2 linked regions of the Lonchura striata genome follow. The protein of the gene in region 2 interacts with the protein of the main gene of each other region in a pairwise test. Links are inferred from orthologs where the notes say so. Each region holds a gene or a part of one and is shown on either strand. Other genes may lie near its edges.

What was found.
Region 1: the proteins of DCTN2 (region 2) and GADD45A interact in binary tests that used the Homo sapiens proteins (3 or more experiments, as listed by UniProt). The link is inferred for Lonchura striata from reciprocal best matches to the Homo sapiens genes DCTN2 and GADD45A.

The regions. Positions count from the first base shown.
Region 1 is NC_134611.1:5,083,178-5,089,935, reverse strand, and holds GADD45A (growth arrest and DNA damage-inducible protein GADD45 alpha), read left to right. Parts: upstream 1-4,463; 5' UTR 4,464-4,516; coding exon 4,517-4,560; intron 4,561-4,642; coding exon 4,643-4,744; intron 4,745-4,822; coding exon 4,823-5,036; intron 5,037-5,532; coding exon 5,533-5,646; 3' UTR 5,647-6,037; downstream 6,038-6,758. UniProt on the Homo sapiens protein: In T-cells, functions as a regulator of p38 MAPKs by inhibiting p88 phosphorylation and activity.
Region 2 is NC_134629.1:5,205,912-5,213,397, reverse strand, and holds the start of DCTN2 (dynactin subunit 2), read right to left. Parts: upstream 3,093-7,486; 5' UTR 3,043-3,092; coding exon 3,007-3,042; intron 1,665-3,006; coding exon 1,596-1,664; intron 1-1,595. Other genes in the region: kinesin heavy chain, read left to right, coding at 5,856-5,984. UniProt on the Homo sapiens protein: Part of the dynactin complex that activates the molecular motor dynein for ultra-processive transport along microtubules. In the dynactin soulder domain, binds the ACTR1A filament and acts as a molecular ruler to determine the length.

The sequences.
Region 1 (6,758 bases), on a different chromosome or scaffold from region 2:
GCTTTATGGCCCCACGCTGCCAAGAAATGGAAAAAGTTTGTTTTCACTTCAGCGCGGCTCTCTCTGTCCCCGGGCTGGACTTCGCCCGGCGCTGCCCGGCCGGGTGGTTCCCACCCGGGCTGCCACGCGTGCCCGGCATGGCCAGGCTGGGAAAAACGCCTGATTCTGCAGGGAGAAGGGGTGGAGGGTGCATGCAGGGCAGAGGGAACGTCCCTGCCAGGAGCAGCACAGCCTTCTGCTGCCCTGAACCCACAGGCACGAGGAGCTGAGCAGGGACTTGCTGGGCTGGGGAAGGAAAAGATATTCCAGCAGGAAGTCTCCTTCAGCAGAAGGAAAAGACATTTCAGATATTTACCCAGGGTGGTGGGACATGGGTGAGCCATGAAATCACAGAATCCTGGGGTGGTTTGGGCTGAAAGGGACCTTAGACCTCCTCCAGTCCCACTCCCTTGGGGAGCAGGCAGGGACACCTTCCCCTGTCCCAGGCTGCTCCAAGCCCTGTCCAAGCTGGCTTCGAGCACTTCCAGGAACGGAGCAGCCACAGCTGCCAGGGTCTCACCACCCTCCCGGCCAAGAATTTCCTCCTGATCTCCAATCTCCATCTCCTCTCCTTCAGTTTAAAGCCACTGGAGCACTCCCAGGCTCCCACTCGTGCTCGCTGTTTGCAGAGCTCCTGCCGCAGCCAGGGAGAGCCGGCTCCCTCTCGGCGACCTTCCAGCACCACGGCGGGCTGCAGGAATGTGCTGAGTGCGGGATAAACACATCCCAGATCCCCGGCGCCCCAGCCCCCTGCCCTCCCACCTCTGCGGGAGCTGAGCCCCGCTCAGGAGCCCGCAAAGGGGCTGGGGCCAGGCAGGAGGAGAATGCCCGTGCCGGGGAGCTGCCAGCCCTGCTCCGTGCCGGGGAGCTGCCAGCCCTGCTCCGTGCTGGGGAAGTGCCAGCCCTGCTCCGTGCCGGGGAGGTGCCAGCCCTGCTCCGTGCCAGGGAGGTGCCAGCCCTGCTCCGTGCCGGGGAACTGCCAGCCCTGCTCCGTGCTGGGGAAGTGCCAGTCCTGCTCCGTGCCGGGGAAGTGCCAGTCCTGCTCCGTGCCAGGGAAGTGCCAGCCCTGCTCCGTGCCGGGGAAGTGCCAGCCCTGCTCCGTGCCGGGGAAGTGCCAGCCCTGCTCCGTGCCGGGGAGCTGCCAGCCCTGCTCCGTGCTGGGGAAGTGCCAGTCCTGCTCCGTGCCGGGGAGGTGCCAGCCCTGCTCCGTGCCACCGAGCCGGGCTCTCGGCTGCACTCCCATGACCTGGGTGGTTGAGAAAGCTGCCGGCACCGTGCCCAGCTCCAGAGCCAAGGCCAGGCGGGCCCGGGCTTCCCTTCCCGCTGTGCCGTGAGCTCCCGGGCTGCCCAAAGCCAAACCCCGAGCAGCAGCAGGGGTGGCTGCAGCTGAACCCCGCTTTGAGCTCCAGCAGGGGTGGGGGGACTCCCAGGAAAACGGGGGGAATGTCTTCTTGTCCTTGTGCTGCCGGTGCTGGAGAGGATGTGGCACTGATGGTGCCAGGGCGGGTGGATCCTGGGGCACTCCCAGGCTCCTGCCCTGCTCCACGGGGAGGCCAAGCCGAGGTTCCCTGGCTGCCAGAGCCCGGGGATCCGCTCCTGCACGGCTCCGGGGCGGGATGCCCCGCTCTGGGAAGGTGGATGTGCCTGGGCACCGCAGGTCAGCTCGGTGACACGGAACTGGTGGCACCGGGGACACGGCGGCTCCCGGAGCAGAGGCCGTCCCTGGAATGTGCAAGCTGGCGTTTGCTCTGCATCCAGCGGATCCAGAGGCACTGGGAACGCTCGGTGGCCCTGGCACAGCAGCCTGGGGTGCCCAGGGGTGTCCCAGCAAACGGGCACAGCGAGATTTCCCACAGCAGCCAAGGGGCTGGACAAAGGTCCCACCTGGGACAGGACAAAGCAGGGAAACGAGGGAGGGGGATCGGGGGCACCCCAAGGAGGGACAGCAGGAGCCAAGGGAACGGGAGCAGCATCCCGGCACTGTTCCAGGGGCTCAGGGCCGGGACCACCCCGAGGCACCCCCGGGAAGGGCCTGGCCGGCTGCCGGGGCTCCGGAGGGATGGGGCTCTGTCACCTCTCACTGCCGCTGTTTGACGGCTGGTCTCCTTCCCAAAATCTGAAATTAAACAAGCTGATGCTCTGAGGTGCGGGAAGCGCCTCTGCAGCTGGTCCAGACGTCCTCCCCCACCGGGGGCTCCAGTGGGCATCTCCCACATCCCTGGGGTTAACCCATTGCTGTCCAAGCCGCCTCCGAGCTCGGGCAGCTCAGCCCCGCAGCCCAGAGAACATTCGGGGTGAGGCTCTGCCGAGTGGGGGGAAGAGCTGAGCCCCTCGGCGGAGCCTGAGCCCCACACGGCTCCCGACCCCCGACTCTGCCACGCCGAAGGAGGGGAGGGCAGGCCCGGCCTAGAGAATGATGAAAGTCGGGATTAAAGGGCAGGGGGGGAGACAAACACCGCGGCCGCTTTTGGCAGGCGATGAAAGGAGGTTCAGCAGCAGCTGCCAGCTGGGAGCTGACGGAGGGACAACAGCTCCATCCCGGGCTGCCCGGGCCGGCGGCCACGGCACATCCCGGCACGGCCAGCGCTGTCCCCGCGCACCCCGCAGCCCGCATCCCGCATCCTCGGGAAACGGGAGAACGGGAGACGGCGGGAGAGCCGCGGGGCCAGCGCGGGTTCAGAGCGCTGCCCGCCGCCCCCGGGAGGGGAAAAGAGCCTTCAGCTGCTTCCCAGCTGCCTCCCAGACAGATTTAGCTCTGGGGCCGGCACAGATGGGGCTGCGGAGGCACAGGCGGAGCCCGCAGTTGCTAATAGAGATACAGCAAATTAAGCGCACTTAATTCGGAGGGTCACCGCACAATGCTCCCACCTGTTTTGCTGCGGTCCGGCCATCTGCCGCCCCTCCACCTGATGCAAAAAGGGCTTTTCTCCCTTTCCCCCACACCGGCTCTCACCAGGCTGCGGCAGCAGGGCAGGGTAGAGCCGGGCCGGGGGGACAGAACAAAGCCCTGGGAGGTTTTCCTCCCGGAGCCAGCACAGCCGGGGGGCGCAGAAATCACCCTCATTATTCTGCTGCAGAAACGCTTTGATATGCCCCTGAAGTGTTCCAGATTGGGCAGGACTTGGAGCAAGATGGGGGGGTGGAACAAAACCATCCCTGGGGTTCCTTCCAGCCCAAACCACTCCAGGATTCTGTGATACCTCATTTCCCAGAGGGGGATTCTGTGATATCTCATTTCCCTCAGGGGTTCTGCAGGAGCTGCATGGATCTGGCATCGCTCTGCACCTTGTGCTGTGGAAACGGCTCCTGGAGCTCAGGAGCTGCAGGAAAACACCGGCACAAGCCAAACTTTAAAGCACACGCTGCCAAATCTCCGTAAGGGACCACCAAGGGTCCTGACTGCAGCCGTGGGGCCGGTGGGAATGTGCCAGCCCACAGCCAGGTTGGGAAAGAGCTCTGGCAGCGGCTGTGGGAGGATGGAGGGGTTTGGGTGCAGCAGCTGAGAAAGCTTTGACACAGCAGCCACCAGGAGAAATCCTGCCCGGAGGTCTCGGGGCTGACACGGGACATCTGGAGCAGGAGCAGCTTCCCGGACAAGCACCAAGTTCTTGGAAAGCTGCAAAGGGAGAGATCGCAGAACCACAGGCTGGGTTGGGTTGGGAGAGATCTTAAAGATCACCCAGTGCCACCCCTGCCGTGGCAGGGACACCTCCCACTGTCCCAGGCTGCTCCAGCCTGTCCAGCCTGGCCTGGGCACTGCCAGGGATCCAGGGGCAGCAGCGTGGCTGCCTGTGGCAAACACAGAAGGAGAAGGATCCAGGGAGAGCTCAGAGCCCCTGGGAATGTTCCCCTGGAGAGGAGAAGGATCCAGGGAGAGCTCAGAGCCCCTGGGAATGTTCCCCTGGAGAGGAGAAGGATCCAGGGAGAGCTCAGAGCCCCTGGGAATGTTCCCCTGGAGAGGAGAAGGATCCAGGGAGAGCTCAGAGCCCCTGGGAATGTTCCCCTGGAGAGGAGAAGGATCCAGGGAGAGCTCAGAGCCCCTGGGAATGTTCCCCTGGAGAGGAGAAGGATCCAGGGAGAGCTCAGAGCCCCTGGGAATGTTCCCCTGGAGAGGAGAAGGATCCAGGGAGAGCTCAGATCCCGTTCCCATTCCCGATCCTGTTCCCGTTCCCATTCCCGATCCCGATCTCATTCCCATTCCCGTTCCCATTCCCGATCCCGGCCAGGCCCGGCCGGACCCGGCACGCAATGGGCGTGGTCTAATTTGCATGAACCAATGGGCGCTGGTTATGCAAACGAAGGGGCGGGGCCGGGCGCCGGGCGGGGCGGCGCGCGCGGGGCGCCTTTGTCCGGCACGGGCGGCGGGGCCGGAGCGGCCGCAGCGGCCGGAGCGCGGTGTCCGCCAGCCCCTGTCCACCCCAGCCCCTGTCCACCCCAGCCCCTGTCCACCCCAGCCCCTGGCCGCCCCAGCCCCGTGATGACCCTGGAGGAGCTGCCCGGGGAGCGCCGCGCCGCCGGGAGGTGAGGCCGGGGGGCGGCGGGGGCCGGGCGGGGAGCGGCGCGGGGTGGCCGGTGACGGCCGGTGCCGCGTGTCCCGGCGCAGGATGGAGCAGGCGGGGGACGCGCTCGAGGAGGTGCTGAGCAAGGCGCTGAGCCAGCGGAGCCTGACCCTCGGCGTCTACGAGGCGGCCAAGCTGCTCAACGTGTGAGTGCCCCCCCCGTCCCCGTCCTCCCCCCGGTGCGCCCTGCCCGGTGCGCCCGCGGTGACGGCGCTGCCCCGCAGGGACCCCGATAACGTGGTGCTGTGCCTGCTGGCGGCCGAGGAGGAGGAGGCGGGGGACGCGGCGCTGCAGATCCACTTCACGCTGCTGCGGGCCTTCTGCTGCGAGAACGACATCAACATCCTGCGCGTCAGCAACCCGGCGCGCCTGGCCGAGCTGCTGCTGCCCGCCGCGGGCCCCGACCCGCCCGCCGACCTGCACTGCGTGCTCGTCACGGTGAGCCCGGGCTGCCCCCGCGGGCTCCCCGCCGCCGCTCGGGACCCCCGAGCCGCCGCGCCCGGGGCTCGAACCCGCGGCCCCGGGGCGGCGCGGGGTCCCGCGGTGCCTCCGCCGCCCTCGCCCCCGTTCGCCGCTGTGCCCCGGCTCCTCCTTTGTTCCTCGCCTCTTTCCCCTGTTCCGTCTTTTCTTTCCTTTGCTTTCCTCCTTTCCCTCTTTATTTTTCCCTTTTTCTTTCCCTCCCTTCCCCCACTTTTATCTCTCCCTCCTGGTTTTTTCTCCCTCCCCCCTTCCCTCCTCTGCCCCAGAGTCCAAAGCTAAAGCTCCTGACGCGCTCCCAGGCCCGACTTGTTTGTTTGCCTCGCCAGCAATTTGAGATGATTCACACTCCTGCGCTTCCCCCCCAGCCCCCGCCCGCCGCTCTGGGCTTGTTTTTGCTGCCGTGCCGGAGCTTTGTTTTTTTTTTTAATTTGTTTTTTTGCCGTCCCCTTTGCAGAACCCGCAGGCGTCGCAGTGGAAGGACCCGGCGCTGAGCCAGCTGATGTGTTTCTGCCGGGAGAGCCGGTACCTGGACCAGTGGGTGCCGGTCATCAACCTCCCGGAGCGGTGACCCCGGCCCGGCCGCTGCGGCGCCGCAGAAATTCTCGCTCAGGAAGGAACTCCCTGCCCCCGGCTCCGGGAGGGAAAATAAAAACCCGACAGCAACAACGAAACGTAGATGTAAAACAATAACGCTAAAACTGATGTCACTTGCGGGGGGTTTGGCTGCGGTGGAGCGATGCCGAGTGTGGCAGATGAGGAGAACAGGATGAGCCCAGCCCCAACTCCCCTCGCTCCCTCTGTCCTTAAGTGCCACTTCAAGTTCCTGCTTTGAACGCCTTGACGAGCAAACAGGTTCATCGAGGCCTTTTGCCAGCAATGTTGTTGTACTTTTGGGATGTAATTCTCACGTTTTTATGCTAAGATATATAATAATAATAATAATAAGTTATTTTCTGATATCAATGGAAAAAAAATTATTTATACTTGGTGGTTTGAGAACCGAAATGCCCTCAAGCAGTTGGTCTGCAACCATGAATCTTCTCCCAGTTGGCTGCAAAAGCAGCGCCATTAATATAATTGTTTGAAATTCGAGTGTATTTTTGGGGTTATGGTGGTCTTGTTTTGTGTTTTCTTTTTTTTTTTTTTTGAAATAAAGTGTAAAAATCAAACCTTTGGCCCAGGCTTTTATTCCCTCACTGCACGAGGCTGAGCAGTGAGCAGCAGCTGCTTCCTCCTGGCCATGGGCAAGGTCCTGTTGTGCAGCTCCAGTGTGGGTTCATTCCCGGCCCCTCCCAAGCAATTAAAGGCTGAAGCAGCCCGTGTGCTGCAGGAAATGTTGGGAATGTTGTTTATTTATTTATTTAATTTGCTTGAATGCTGCTGCAACAGGCACTAAAAAAAAACCAAAAAAACAAACAAAAAAAATGGAAAAAAAAAAAACAAAAAAACAAAAAAGGGTTTTGCTGATGGGGTTTCCAGCTCCTCCTTGGCAGGTGGAAATCCTGATTCCCTGCTGGAGCAAAACCTGGCCCAGGGTTTCCTGGAGGCCGGGAGGGGAGGCTGGACCTGTTCTCCCACTCCTGGGATGCTCCAGCACCAGGCCACCCTGTCCCTGTCCCCAGCCCAGGTCCCACCCTGTGCCTGGGGCCACTGCAGCAGCAGCAGCAGATTTATTTCTCC
Region 2 (7,486 bases):
GCAGGTTTAGAGGGTCCCCCTTGTTCCCCTCGGGGTGGGGCTGGGGAACCGGCAGCTCAGTTCCTCTTGGGGACAAGGACAGCAAGGACAGGGACCCCCAGCCGGGTCCTGCTCTCCCCTTCCTGCCCCAAAGCACAGGCAGGGTGCCACAGGGGGTGGGGGGGCTACACTGCAGGGAACATTGTCATCATGGGGGGACACTGTCACCGTGGGGCACACTGCCACTGTGGGGACATTGTCACTGTGAAGGAAAATGTCACTGTGGGGGACACTGTCACTGTGGGGACACTGTCACTGTGGGGGACATTGGGACTGTGGAGGAAAATGTCACTGTGGGGGACACTGTCACCGTGGGGGACACTGTCACTGTGGGGGACATTGGGACTGTGGAGGAAAATGTCACTGTGGGGGACACTGTCACCGTGGGGGACACTGTCACCGTGGGGACACTGTCACTGTGGAGGAAAATGTCACTGTGGGGGACACTGTCACCGTGGGGCACACTGTCACCGTGGGGCACACTGTCACTGTGGGGACACTGCCACTGTGGGGGACACTGTCACTGTGGGGACACTGTCACTGTGGGGACACTGTCACTGTGGAGGAAAATGTCACTGTGGGGACACTGTCACTGTGGAGGAAAATGTCACTGTGGGGGACACTGTCACTGTGGGGAAAAATGTCACTGTGGGGACACTGTCACTGTGGGGGACACTGTCACTGTGGGGAAAAATGTCACTGTGGGGGGACACTGTCACTGTGGAGGACACTGTCACTGTGGGGGACACTGTCACTGTGGGGAAAAATGTCACTGTGGGGACACTGTCACTGTGGGGGACACTGTCACTGTGGAGGAAAATGTCACTGTGGGGGACACTGTCACTGTGGGGAAAAATGTCACTGTGGGGACACTGTCACTGTGGGGACACTGTCACTGTGGGGGACACTGTCACCGTAGGGACACTGTCACTGTGGGGCACACTGACACTGTGGGGGACACTGTCACTGTGGGGCACACTGGCACTGTGGGGGGACACTGCCACTGTGGGGCACACTGTCACTGTGGGGACACTGTCACCGTGGGGACACTGTCACTGTGGGGCACACTGGCACTGTGGGGACACTGTCACCGTGGGGCACACTGGCACTGTGGGGGGACACTGCCACTGTGGGGAAAAATGTCACTGTGGGGACACTGTCACCATGGGGGACATTGGGACTGTGGGGACACTGTCTCTGTGGGGACACTGGCACTGTGGGGGACATTGGGACTGGGTGAACACTGTAACTGTGGGAAAAATGTCACTGTGAGGTGACACACTGTCACTGTGGGGGACACTGTCATTGTGGAGGAAAATGTCACTGTGGGGACACACTGTCACTGTGGAGGACATTGGGACTGGGTGGACACTGTCACTGTGGAGGACATTGGGACTGTGAGGACACTGTCACTGTGGGGTGACGTGTCGCTGTGCACAATGCGGTGCTGCCGGGTGCATGGGGGGCTGGTTCCCTGTCACGGTGCCAGTGCTGGGGGTCCCGGGGGTCCCGGGGGTCCGGTGCAGCTGCTGCTCCCCCCACGGGCCGGGCCTTACCGCCTCGAACTCGGCCTGGTCATCCTCAGGCAGGTCACTGGTCTCGTACACGTCGGGCTCGTTCCGGGCCTGCGGCACCAGGACCGTGCTGGGACCCCCACACCTCATCCCTGATGTGCCACATGTCCCTCTGGACATCCCAGTGTCCCCACACCCCGTGCTGACTGCCCCGCTCCCCCAAAAGCACTTCAAACACCCCAGTGTCCCCCCAACACCCCGACTCACTGCCCCCGTCCCCTGATCTCCCCCCAGCACCACGTCCCAGTTCCCACCGTCACCCCAAACGCACGGGGTGCTCCCACGCCCCAGGGATCCGGGCTCACCCCACGGACAGACCCACAGACAGACAGACAGGTGCCCTTCCTGGCACCCCAAGCCCTCCCCAGCCCCAGCCCCCTCCCATTCCTACACCCCAAACACTGCCAACCCCCCACCCCACGGACCCCTCAGCTCACCTCCAGATCTTCTCCAGACCTACCACCCCTCAGATTTCCCAAATCCCCCTGGCCCCCAGACCCTGTCAGTCATTCCAAGCTCAGACCCCCCAAATTTGACTTGATCCCTGCAGTCCCTCAGCCCCCTCAGCCCACCTCAGGACCCCTGATTCCCCGGGTCCCCCCAGAGCCCTGAGACACCCCGCAGCACCCCCAGATCCCCCTGACCCGCTCTGACCCTCGGACCCTCTCCGAGCCGCCCTTCTCCCACCTCCCCAGTCCCTCCATGTCCCACCGGTCCCCTCCAATTCCGAGACCCCCCGGCCCCCTCAGACCCCCAGATCCCCCTCAGACCCCCAGAACCCCCTCAGATCCCCAAATACCCCTCAGACCTCCAGATCCCCCTCAGATCCCCTCGGGCCCCTAAGATCCCCCTCAGACCCTCTGGCCCCTTCAGACCCCCCCGCCCCCTCAGACCCCCAGATCCCCCTCAGATCCCCAAATACCCCTCAGACCTCCAGATCCCCCTCAGACCCTCTGGCCCCTAAGATCCCCCTCAGACCCCCAGATCCCCCTCAGACCCTCTGGCCCCCTCAGACCCTCTGGGCCCCTCAGACCCCCAGATCCCCCTCAGATCCCCAGATCCCCCTCAGACCCCCAGATCCCCCTCAGACCCCCAGATCCCCCTCAGATCCCCAGATCCCCCTCAGACCCCCAGATCCCCCTCAGATCCCCAGATCCCCCTCAGACCCCCAGATCCCCCTCAGATCCCCTCGGGCCCCTAAGATCCCCCTCAGACCCCAGATCCCCGCAGTTCCCTCATTGTCCCCCAGGGCTTATCCCGCTTGACTCCCCCGATCCCCTCAGGGCCCTCAGCACCCCCGGCCCCCTCTGATCCCCCCGATCCCCTCAGAGCCCCCGACCCCTGCTACACCCGCTCACAGCCCCGGCTCCTCCCGGCCCGGCCCCTCACTCACGATGCCGGGCAGGTCGGCGTACTTGGGGTCGGCCATGGTGGGGGCGGTACCGGGGGTTGGTACCGGGGGCCGGTTGCGGGGGTCGGTACCGGGGGTCGGTACCGGGGCCGGTGCCGGTTGCGGGGGTGGGTACCGGGGGTCGGTGCCGGGGGTCGGTGCCGGGGGTCGGTACCGGGGGTCGGTGCCGGGGGTCGGTGCTGGGGGTCGGAACCGGGGCCGGTTGCGGGGGTCGGTGCCGGGGGTCGGAACCGGGGCCGGTTGCGGGGGTCGGTACCGGGGGTCGGTGCCGGGGCCGGTGCCGGGGCCGGTTGCGGGGGTCGGTACCGGGGGTCGGTACCGGGGCCGGTGCCGGGTCCCGGAATGGCCGCGCAGGGCCGGGGCGGGGCTGGTCTCGCGAGAGCCGCGCGGGGCGGTGCGAGAGGCGAGAGCGCAGGGGCGGGGCCGGGCGGGTGGGCGGGGCCTGGAGAGGTGGGCGGGGCCTGGCTGAGGCGGGGGCGGGGCCTGAACGAGCAGACGGGGCGGGGGCGGCACTGGGGGACAATGGGGGGACAATTGGGGGGACAGTGGGGGGACAATTGGGGGGACAGTGGGGGGACAATTAGGGGGACAACTGGGGGGACAGTGGGGGGACAATTGGGGGGACAGTGGGGGGACAGTGGGGGGACAATTAGGGGGACAACTGGGGGGACAGTGGGGGGGACATTGGGGGGGGACAATTGGGGAGACAGTGGGGGGGACAGTGGGGGGGGACAGTGGGGGGGACAACTGGGGGAACAACTGGGGGGACAGTGGGGGGGGACAATTGGGGAGACAGTGGGGGGGACAGTGGGGTGGGACAGTGGGGGGGACAACTGGGAGGACAATTGGGGGAGGACAGTGGGGGGACAACTGGGGGAACAACTGGGGGGACAGTGGGGGGGACGATGGGGGGGACGATGGGGGGGACAACTGGGGGGACAGTGGGGGGGACAGTGGGGGGGACAGTGGGGGGGACAACTGGGGGAACAACTGGGGGGACAGTGGGGGGGGACAATTAGGGAGACAGTGGGGGGGACATGGAGGGGGGACAGTGGGGGGGACAATGGGGGGACAATTAGGGGGACAACTGGGGGGACAGTGGGGGGGGACGATGGGGGGGACAACTGGGAGGACAATTGGGGGGACAGTTGGGGGGACAACTGGGGGACGATGGGGGGACAGTGGGGGGGACGATGGGGGGGACAGTGGAGGGGACAACTGGGGGGACAGTGGAGGGGACAATTGGAGGGACAACTGGGAGGACAATTGGGGGGACAGTGGGGGGGACGATGGGGGGGACAGTGGAGGGGACAACTGGGGGGACAGTGGAGGGGACAATTGGAGGGACAACTGGGAGGACAATTGGGGGGACAGTGGGGGGGACGATGGGGGGGACAATGGGGACACACGGACACGGAGGAGGACAGTGGTGTGGGACAGGGGGCACACGGCCACGGACGGGGCACGGGGGTACGAGGGGGACACACCGGGGGTGAACAAGGGGCGGGGAACGGGGGGAGACACAGGGGGCGACACAGAGGGGGGCACACGGGTGGGGGCACACGAGGACACGCGCGGGGACACACATGGGGGGGCACACGCGGAGCACGCGGGGGGACACGGGGTTCAGATGTGGGGACACATGAAGGGACACGGGGGGACACAGGGGGAAACACGGGGGGCACAGGGGCACGCAGTGGGCGCACGCCAGGGGGACACACGGGAGGACACATGAGGGGCACACGGCAGAGCGCAGGGTGGGGGACACGGTGGGGACCCGGGGGGACACCCGGGGCAGGCTCATGGGTGTCCCCCATCAGTGGGGGCAAGCACAGGCTGGGTGGCACTGCGGCCACGCAGGTGGGTGGGCACCCATGGGTGTGTCCAGGGCTGCATCCCATGGTGAGGCTGCACTTCTCACCCGCGGGAGACCCCCGGGGTCAGCTCCGGGCCGCCCCCCGGCGTGTTTGGGGGGTCTCACGGAGGGGCGGGGGATCTCCAGGCCGGGGGGATGAGTCAGGACCGCCGCCTTCCCGCGGGGGGGACACCGGGCAGGGCGGCGGGGGGAGGCTGGCCCTGCTCCCCCCTCCCCAGCCGCGCCCCGGTCCCGTTCCCCGGCCCGTCCCGCTCCTCCAGCCGTGAATCAGCATTTTGGGGGGGTCCATCCCCGGGGCTGCGTCCCCCCCTTCCAGTTCCGTCCACCTTAAGAGCCGCGGGCGGCTCCACCTTAAGGCGGGGGAGGGGGCGCGGGGGGCGGCCCCCCCGCCCGCCGGTCCCGGGGCTGCAGTGGCGACAGCGGCGGTCACAGGAGCGGCGACAGCGGCAGCTGCGGAGCGTCAGCCCCGCCCGGCGCCGCCTCCCGCATCCTGCAGCCCGCAAGCCGCATCCTGCATCCCGCAGCGCATCCTGCATCCCTGGGTACCACCCGCAGCCCTGGGTACCACCCTGCAGTGCTGAGCAGCATCCTGCATCCCGGGCAGCATTCCGAGTCCTTGGGTACCGCCCGGGCAGCATCCTGCGTCCCTGAGCAGCATCCTGCATCCCTGAGCAGCATCCTGCATCTTTGGGCAGCATCCTGCGTCCCTGAGCAGCATCCTGCATCTTTGGGCAGCATCCTGCATCCCTGAGCAGCATCCTGCATCCCTGGGCACCACCTGGGCACCCCCCTGCATCTTTGGGCAGCATCCCGCGTCCCTGAGCTGCATCCTGCACCCTCGGGTACCGCCGGGCATCCCCGGGTACCCTCCTGCGCCCCGGTGCCGCCGGAGCCTTAGGCTGTGACACCCCCGCTGCCTTGCCCGCCCCCGTCTCGCCGCCCCCCGACCCCCGCCATGGCCGAGCTCAGCTCCGAGTGCAGCATCAAGGTCCTGTGCCGGTTCCGGCCCCTCAACCAGGCCGAGATCCTGCGGGGGGACAAGTTCCTGCCCGTGTTCCAGGGGGACGACAGCGTCGTGGTGGGGGTGAGTCAGAGCGGGGGGACCCCCAGGGTGGGGGGGGGCGGCACCCCCACTTCGGGAGGGGGTCCCCGCAGCGGGGGCGTTGTCACTTGGGGGGCAGACCCTGCTCTGGGTGCGGCCGCTGCCCCCCGGGACCCTCCCCCCATTTCCGAGGCTCGGGCACTCCCAGTTTGCCCAGTGCCGGGGGGGGGATGTTTACACTGAGCAGAAACGCCCTGACCCCGCCGGGGGGGCACGATCGGCCCCCAAAGCAGCCGGGGGGGTGGGGGGGTGCCGCAGATCCCCCCCTCCCCCGGCGCTGCGGCCCCGCCCTTTGTTAGGGGCTCATCCGGGGGGCGGCTGAGGCCCCCAAAATATTGCCACCCCCTCCCCGCCTCCCCATAACGCCCCCCCCTCGCCCGGAGGGGGCGTCGGGGGGAAGCGATGGTCCCCGGGGGGGTCTGCGGGCGTGGGGAGGGGGCCGTGGGTGGGGGGGTCCGTGGGTGGGGTCCGTGGGTGGGGTGCCTGGGTGGGGTCCGTGGATGGGGTCCGTGGATGGGGTCCGTGGGTGGGGTCCGTGGGTGAGGTCCGTGGATGGGGTCCGTGGATGGGGTCCGTGGGTGGGGTCCGTGGATGGGGTCCGTAGGTGGGGGTCCGTGGATGGGGGTCGGTGGATGGGGGGGATTCCATGGGAGGGGGGGTCCGTGGGTGGGGGTCCGAGGGTGGTGTCCGTGGATGGGGTCCGTGGATGGGGTCCGTGGATGGGGTCCGTGGATGGGGTCCGTGGGTGGGGGGGATTCCATGGGATGGGGGGTCCGTGGGTGAGGTCCGTGGATGGGGTCCGTGGATGGGGTCCCTGGGTGGGGTCCCTGGGTGGGGTCCCTGGGTGGGGGTCCCTGGCCGGGGCCGGCGCGGTGCGGCTGTGCCGGCGCAATGCGGGGCAGGAGGTTGCGGGCGCGGGGGGAGTCGCGGGGGTGGCGGTGCGGGTGGGGGCGGTGGGTGCGGGTGGGATGGGGGCTGCGGGTGGGTGCGGGTGGGATGGGGGCTGCGGGTGGGGGCGGTGGGTGCGGGGTGCGGGCCCGGGCAGGGTGGGGGTGCGGGGGGTGCGGGGAGGTTGCGTGACCGGCGGCGGGCGGGGCCGCGGAGCTGCGGCGGCTGCGGGGGACCGGGGGGAGCGGGGGCGCGGGCTGCGGACACCGGCTGTCCCCGCGTCCGTGTGTCCGTGTGTCCGTGTGTCCGTGTGTCCCCGTGTACGTGTGTCCGTGTGTCCCCATGGCTGTGTGTCCCCGTGTCTGTGTGTCCCCATGACTGTGTGTCCGTGTGCCCATGTGTCCCCCTGTCCCCGTGTCCGTGTGTCCCCCATGTCCCTGTGTCCATGTGTCCGTGTATCCCCGTGTCCGTGTGTCTCTGTGTCCATGTGTCCCTGTGTCCATGTGTCCCTGTGTCCATGTGTCCGTGTGTCCCCCATGTCCATGTGTCCGTGTGTCCCCGTATCCATGTGTCCCTGTGTCCGTGTGTCCCTGTGT